Neurospora crassa OR74A: one gene and its partner. The protein of the gene in region 2 purifies or fractionates together with the protein of the main gene of each other region. This does not show direct contact. Links are inferred from orthologs where the notes say so. Each region holds a gene or a part of one and is shown on either strand. Other genes may lie near its edges.

Region 1 (3,443 bases), on a different chromosome or scaffold from region 2:
GTGCGAGATTGCGATTGATAGGATAGAGTGGGAGAATTCGGAGGAGAGGAAGCAGGAGAAGTTGCGCCAGAGGTACATTGACATTGACAACATCATATTTCTGTTCTGGCATTCTTTCCATTGGTGTGCTAACCGCAGAAAACTACTACTTCTAGTGACTTTGCCTCGGTTGATCCCGCCCCTCCCATGCCCGAAGACGACGAGAAGCAAACGGTCGAGACGCTCGAGAAGAAACTCCTAGACACTTCGCTCCCCCTCTTCAAGAGATACCGCGCCATGTTCGCCCTCCGCGACCTGGCCTCCCCTCCCGACCTGCCGACTGCCGTTCCCGCCATCCTGGCCCTGGCCAAGGGTCTCAAGGACGAGTCCGCCTTGTTCCGCCACGAGATCGCCTTTGTGTTTGGACAGCTGTCGCACCCGGCTTCCATCCCGGCCCTGACCGAGGCCCTCAGCAACCTCGACGAGGTCAGCATGGTCCGTCACGAGGCGGCCGAGGCTTTGGGCAGTCTGGGTGATGAGGAAGGGGTCGAGGAGACGCTGCTCAAGTTCCTCCATGACAAGGAGAAGGTCGTTCGCGAGAGTGTGATTGTTGCGCTGGATATGGCCGAGTTTGAGCAGAGCGGCCAGGCTGAGTACGCGTTGATACCCGAGGTTGCTAGCAAGGCGTCGTAAAAGATGGGACTTTGAGTTTCTCTTGTTGGTTCGTTGATTGCGTTCGTTGATTGCTTGTTTCTTTTTCTTTTCTGGGGCGAATCATGGATGGATGGATGGAAGGGTATTTCAAAAAGTTTATGCGTCTTTCTCTCTCTCTCAGGATTATACCAATGCGACTGATCGTCGGTCCTGACAAAAAGAAGGGGTATCGTTGTTGTAGTTGTAGTAGTTGTAACAAGGCAAAGAAAGCCGTCGTTACTAAAGCTCGGCTTGCCAATGCTGGTGCTAGTAAGCTGTCCCATATGTCGTTGGATCCAAACCAAACCAATGCGACCCAAACAGCATTCCCAATTTTGTAAATCCAATTGCAGCAATCTTCTTTGCACTCAGTTGTTAACCGACCATCTGTGTTGTACCTCGAATTAGCACAAAGCAAACCACAGCTATAATAACCGTCCGGCGGTGTCGCATCATACCTCTCTCCGCAGTCGCAGTTGTACAGAATTGTTGAGCCTTCGTCGGCACTTCTCTGCTGAACTTCCGAGTAACGGATACCGCGCTTGCCGCACTTGGGGCATTCTGTGTTGGAGTCGATTCTCTCCGTGTTGAGCTCGTGCCTTACGACGGTCTGGACGATATCCAGCTTCTGGCGCAAAAGCGAGGGGAAATCGGACGGCTTGGACTTGGTCACGACGGTTCTGGAGGGACGATCTAGAATGAAACCAAGAAAGATGGTCAGTTTGTTCAAGTTGCAATCCTCGGATGAAATAAAGCTTCTTCTTGAACACCGTCTTCTGGAGGATATTGACTGGGTAAAGTGAATTGAATGCGCACCTCTGTTTTCGGCACCGCAGCATTCACAGTGAAGAATGTTCTTTTCGCTGCCCTTGGAGACGGGCAAGAGGTTGCCGCAGTCTGTGCAGAAAATGAGGGATCCGATGGCGGCCATTGTTGTTTCTTCTTGGTTTGTGCCGGAACGGTGGTCAAGGTACTGTAGGTTGTCTGATCGATGTCGGCGGTTCGGTTAACTTGAAGTTTTCTGTTGTTTCGTTCTCGCAGTAAACACCGGCGGACTTCAAGATTTACAACGGGCCTGCATGGAGACGATCAATGGCACGGCAAAACCATGGCAATTGATTGGGCGCGCAATGGAAAATTCCACTGGGGGACCCTCCTGGCTTGCTTCCTGGCAGGCAACCTAACTTGCTTGGCAGCGAGCAATGAAAGCCGGGGCAGGCTACAGGCACCTAGACGTAGGTACTTTAGCATGGGCGATGACGAGTGACGGCGGAAGGCACAACCGCAACAAGGGAACCATCCATCCACGCTGATGACACGGCAGGTGGGACCAAGGGAATCTGCCCCCCCAAGGCCCCATATCCAGCGCAGGCCGCGTGTTTCTGGCGCTGAGTTGGGTTCAAGTTGAATTCGTAAATTGCAAGCCAGACATGGAGACGCGGCAAGCACGACCGAGCGCGCCAACACGCCTGGGGTTAGGTAGGTAGGTAGTGTAGCTGGGCAAGTACGGGACGGCCACGGCACGGCATGGCAGGTGCTAGCTACCTACCTGTGCAGTACCGGCCGGGGTTCGGGGACTCGAATTACAGTAAGTAGCGTGACCGCGCGCCGTGCCCACCAAGCTCACAGGGCTGTTTCCCGTGTTGGCGTTGTGCGTTGCCCGTGCCTGCCCAGTGCCCGCCCTGCTTTGCGGATCAAATCTGGGGAAGGGAAACATACATTTGGATCCATTGGACTTTCCTTCCCTTGAGTTCCAATTTGGGTACAGTACCTGAACTTCACCTTCCTTGAACCTCAACATCGACCACACGTACTTACCCACCTCTACCTCTCTATCTTTAATCGTGCCCGATCCCACCTACCTTAGCTATTTCTATCTGTCTGTTGACCAGTCCCCTCACTCTCAGGTTCTGTTCAGTTGTTGGTCCGAACACATCGAAGCGACGACATGGACACACTACCTGTGCCTGCAGCGTGATTTCCTCTTTTCCTCAACCACCATCATCCATCTTGTCTTCTCCAACTAGTCCATCCGACGCGCCCAGGCCAACACTGACCCGCCGCGGGACAAAGGCCCCTCCTCCGCGACTGCCTACACGATTCCGCCGAAAGCAGTCGGTTCGCATGGCAACAACACCTCCGGCTCTCGTCTGAACTTTGGGCTCCGGGTCCTGACGTGGTACTGCGTCTACTACTGCCGCCGCCGCTGCTGCTGCTGCTGCTGCTGCCGCCGGTGCCCTCCGGCTGGGACGACATTTGCGCCGGACACACCCAACCATCCAAATCACCATGCGCTAATGCTGCTGTCAAAGTGATCAAGCAACAATGGCATACCAGCATCCATACCACCACAGCATGGATCCCAACGCCCAAGACTACCATGGCTCCCAAGGCGCGCCGGCGTCCTCATCGACGCAACAAGCTGTGGCATTTACGAGACCTTTTGCCCTCTACGAAGCTCTGCCCTATACGCCTTTCACCTCGATCGTGCCTTTCGACCCAAGTAAGATCAAACCATCCCAACTCTGAGACACTCCATGTTTGCTCCTCCCCCGTATATCGTCATGCCTATCTCCTCTCCTCTTCGTTCCAATATCGTCACGCGAGTCCTAACCATTCATGTCTTCACCTCTAGGTATCTTGCCGACACCCTCGATCGGAGCTGCGTCGCCCGCCCCCAGCTTGATCGACCTCCTCAACACTCAGGACTTCGATGGCCTCAATCAAGAACTTCACAACACAGGTCCAAGCAAACGCGTTCAGCACACACT
Region 2 (4,107 bases):
GAATAGGGTCACATCCCACTTATTTTACGCATTGCCGATACAGCGGCCGGACTGGTTGTCGAGTTCCCTATACTCCCAACTCGTCCACTCGTCTTTCGAACACCAGCTTCTCTGACGCTCCCAGGTGGATGGCGTTTCGCACTAGTGTTGCCTCGTATCTTGGTCAAAACTCCAGACGCGGAACTAGTGCGTGGAGCGTGGTCATGGGCCTTGATTCGTGCTGCGGCAGTACCAATGTTCTCGATATCGTTCGATGCATCATTATCCATGACTTGATAAACAGTCGTTTTCGTGGTAGCGGTTTGGTGGGTGACAGACCGTTCGGGGGGTTGTCCTGGTGAAGTTGGAGCAGCAGACTGTCTTCGCCGAGATCTTCGAAGATTCCATTCCTCCTCTGAACTCGGCCCTCTTGAGCTCTTGTGAACTGTGATCACCTCGGTTGTCACTTCTGTCATGGGAACGGGTTCTTCCTCCACAGTGGTCTGAATAGGTCCCCGGCCATATCCTTTCTGGCGATCTACTGCGCCCCGCTGCGTCTTCCTTGGCTGTCCTGGCGTAGGTGCGGGGAGGTAATCCTCTTGTACGCCGATATGATTGTCACGCGCCGACTCCCGATCGATCTCGCCTAGCGGTGTCCGAACTGATCCTCTGTTAGAGGGTGTGGACACGCCATTTTTGCTAGAGCTACGACCAAGACTCGTCTTCGACACGGCACGGACAGGGGTGCTGGGATGCGCTGTCCCGTTAGCCTGAGCGGCGGCGGCGGCAGCGGCTGCCATTTCTTTGCGCAGCCTCCGCTCAACCCGCTCCTCAATCCACCACTCCCGGAAGATGCCCTGGTTCAGATGTAACCAGTGCTGCTGAGGCCCTACGACCATGCCTGGGCGCATGAAGCGCATGTAGGCAATGACCTCGTTTGCTGTAAATCCATGTCGGTAGATCAGGTAGGCACCGATGAGGCAGCCTGTTCGGCCGAGGCCAGCTTTGCAATGAACAGCAATGCCCTTCTTCCTAGAGATGGTTTCATGGGCCATGCGGATGAATTTCCGTACGGTCGAAAGGGTAGGACATGTTCCGTCCTCAAAGATCATGTCGATGTGGTTGATTCCTAGGGCTTCAAAGTATGAGGGATTGTAGAGCTGCGAGTTCAGCCTGACGACAAGGCCGATGTCTCGCTCCGAGAAATGCCTGAGAACATTTTTGAAGGGCTGCGGCAGCGTAGGATGTGCGTCGACGGCGGCTAGGGTCTTTGGCAGAAGTGACCACTGCTCGGTCCCCTCGGGGGTGGGAGCAACCGGGGTATGCTGAGGAGAGGCAAATGCCAGGAAGTTGGGTGTAATCCAGTTGAAGTCGCCGTGCTCAACTCTCTCAAACTTTTCGTACTCGTCAAGGTCGAATGTCTCCAACACGCAGCAGCCTTCCTCCTTGGCCTTCCAAACGCCGTACACAACGTCCTGAACCGTGATGCCGTAGTCGGCCTGGCTGTAGCCGGCGTCTCTGAACGGCATTAGAGGGGGGTCAACCTGGGCGACCGGCGCAAGAGCTAGATGCGGAGGCCACGATTGGATCAAAACCATGTAGCAAGCTAGTAGACAAGAGGCATTGGCACGACCTAAGGTAACATTGGTCAGCAATCTTTGCTGTTCTCGAGGAGGCGGACTTAGATGACCTACTGCGTGGATCGGCCCTGCTCCAGAACACTACCGGCCTGTCTTTGTTCTCCTTGGCCCCAAGAATTTCGTGGAACTGCAGGGCGAAGCGGTAAAGGTGGCCGATGTGGAACGGGCCAAAATCGTGGTGGAAGGCATTGTATAGAAGAGTATCGTCGACAGTGAAGTAGTATGGCTTCTTACGCTCCGTGACCTGGTCGATTGTTCGTTGAGAGCGCTTGCGCGGGGACCGTGGTTCAGGATCCGGGTAGGGAAACAAGGTATGCTCGGTAGGAGGTTCAGAGTAAGATGCAAGGTACAATCGGTCTGTAAAGGTTAGTATACTGTAAGGCAATTGCTGATATTGTAGAGGATATTCAAAGGTGCTCATATTGGGACGAGCAGCTCCGTTGCGGAGCGGTGAACATGGGATGCGGGTGGATCATAAACATGGAGTTTTCGGACAACGGAGCCAGAAGCAAAACAAAAAAAAAATTGTAGCTTCAATTAAGAGGACCGGAGCGGCGCACAAATAATCTACACGTACCGGGAATGTACTCGATGATTTGCCCCAGATTGCTGGAGTGTCTGGAGGAAGGAGCCATGGCGTCGTGGCCTGGGAGGCTCAAAGTCGACTGTTTATGTCGAGAGAGCGATTGGCGTTGCGACAATGCGCAGGCGCACGTACGGGAATAGTGATGCTGTGCAATGCAATGAGCTACGTATAGGGAGGCGGGAGCGAAGGATGTTAAAGTCCAATTCGATCTTTTGTCGTTTGAGGGCTGTACTTGAGGTCGGCCAAAATTATGGTCGGATTGATTGACGGGAAGAAGGTGAGGTCGAGATCGCAGATCGTTTGCGCGAGCGATTGTGTGCCAACAAGGGAAAACCAAGCAGCCAAGCTGGGCTAGGTAGCTATACCGCGAGGCAAGGGACTGTGTACTGCACTGCAGGTGCGGGGTGGGATGAAAGGGCCAAAAACAAGGGCCAAAGCCTCCAAAGAAGGACGAGAGGACACCGGCTGCGAGAATGCAATTCTTGTAAAGAACGAAGGCACCGGAGGCAGGAGAATTGAAGAAACAAAGGAGTGGGCAACTCGATGATGATGTGCGAGAGGAGGAGGTCAGAAAAGACCGGTGGGTATGAGCTGGTTGCGGAGAACAGGTTTTGTAGCAGGTACGGCCTTTACCGGTACTTACCAAGAGCGGTGTTTTTGCTGGCAAGGTTGTATGTCGTGTGTGTATTGTCATTGGCAGGGACCCTGGCGAACCGGAGAACGAGCGAGACCTTCACCTCACCTTCCATGCAGAGACCGCCTCCAAGTCGCAACTGATCTTGCCCGACCGCTCTGCCTGCGCCCGGGGTTTAGCGTGGGCCAGCGAAGAATTCGGGGGGCTTGGTATCTTCCAAAACAATTCACCGCCCAATAAGCGCGTTCAAAGCTCCATCTCACCCGCCGTTGTCCTGACAACCTTCTCTCTTGGCATCCGCAGTCGCGCCTGGACCAGTAACATCCAATCGCTTCGCTCTGACGGGAGATCCCCCCCCAGAGCTCCACTTTCCAGCTGAGGTAGAGAGGGAGGTGTTGCCGGAGCTTGTCCTTTTTCTGTAAAGCCGCCATGATGCCTTTGCGCCCAGCACACGGCAACAACCGAATATCGAAACTCGTTCCCTGTTCAGCCAGCCTGCCGCCTACGACCTTGCGATAACTGTAGACGATAGTAACATCACTGCGGAATTGCCAGTGTGAGATACAGTTTGAGGTTCCTACAGAGTTTCCCACAAGGGCCTGTTATCGGTCATCACAGCCCAGGCACACTCGCGGCGGTTGGAATTTGACATTCGTCATCGGGTAGCGCTTACCACACAAACTCCCCTGACAACCGTTAGGCGAGTGCCAGTCTGAAACCCTTTGGTTCACGACAACATATTTCTTGCAAGTGTTTACTTCGGGGTTATTAAAGACCGCAACCATGGCAACCGACGATAACTTCCCCTGCTCGCTGTAGGTCATTTGTTTTTGATTGTTACTTCATTCCTTGTTCTGATATGTTTTGATCCTCTGTTTATTTTCCAATTTTTGAAATTTTTTTTTTTGATTTTTTTTTCAATTTTTCATCTTGTACCATTCGTCTCATGAGATCATCGTCACATCCTTGCTTCACTCAAACTCTGCATACCTTTCAAGATAATCGACACTAACACAGCAACCGACAAGAACACTCCGAGTGCCCTTCCCTGATGCTCGGTTAGCTTCTGTTGCCCTGCAGGCTTTGAGGGTGGACAAGGAGCTCTCCGGCCTCGTGAAGCGGGAACTTTCGACCGTTGCGTCTCCTGGCAGCGAACATGCTGGGGAGACGGTCCTGCAAGTCGACTACAAGGCCACCACAAACCGCATGCTGCGCGTTGCCGTGAATTCCTTTATGGACAGCCTAGCGTTGGTGTTGGAGGTGCAGGA

The links. The genes of interacting proteins can lie anywhere in the genome.
Region 1: the proteins of NCU03246 (region 2) and NCU05251 purify together in Saccharomyces cerevisiae (affinity purification with mass spectrometry; 4 studies listed by BioGRID). This does not show direct contact. The link is inferred for Neurospora crassa OR74A from reciprocal best matches to the Saccharomyces cerevisiae genes CDC14 and RPA12.

What each region holds. Positions count from the first base shown.
Region 1 is NC_026504.1:5,596,174-5,599,616, forward strand, and holds NCU05251 (DNA-directed RNA polymerase I polypeptide), read right to left. Parts: upstream 2,143-3,443; 5' UTR 1,604-2,142; coding exon 1,489-1,603; intron 1,366-1,488; coding exon 1,131-1,365; intron 1,060-1,130; coding exon 1,041-1,059; 3' UTR 673-1,040; downstream 1-672. Other genes in the region: NCU05252 (deoxyhypusine hydroxylase), read left to right, coding at 1-72, 156-672; NCU05250 (hypothetical protein), read left to right, coding at 2,998-3,175, 3,308-3,443. UniProt on the Saccharomyces cerevisiae protein: DNA-dependent RNA polymerases catalyze the transcription of DNA into RNA using the four ribonucleoside triphosphates as substrates. Component of RNA polymerase I (Pol I) which synthesizes ribosomal RNA precursors.
Region 2 is NC_026501.1:5,041,822-5,045,928, reverse strand, and holds the start of NCU03246 (tyrosine-protein phosphatase CDC14), read right to left. Parts: upstream 2,801-4,107; 5' UTR 2,255-2,800; coding exon 2,197-2,254; intron 1,977-2,196; coding exon 1,674-1,976; intron 1,613-1,673; coding exon 9-1,612; 3' UTR 1-8. Other genes in the region: NCU03245 (hypothetical protein), read left to right, coding at 3,623-3,654, 3,868-4,107. UniProt on the Saccharomyces cerevisiae protein: Protein phosphatase which antagonizes mitotic cyclin-dependent kinase CDC28, the inactivation of which is essential for exit from mitosis. To access its substrates, is released from nucleolar sequestration during mitosis.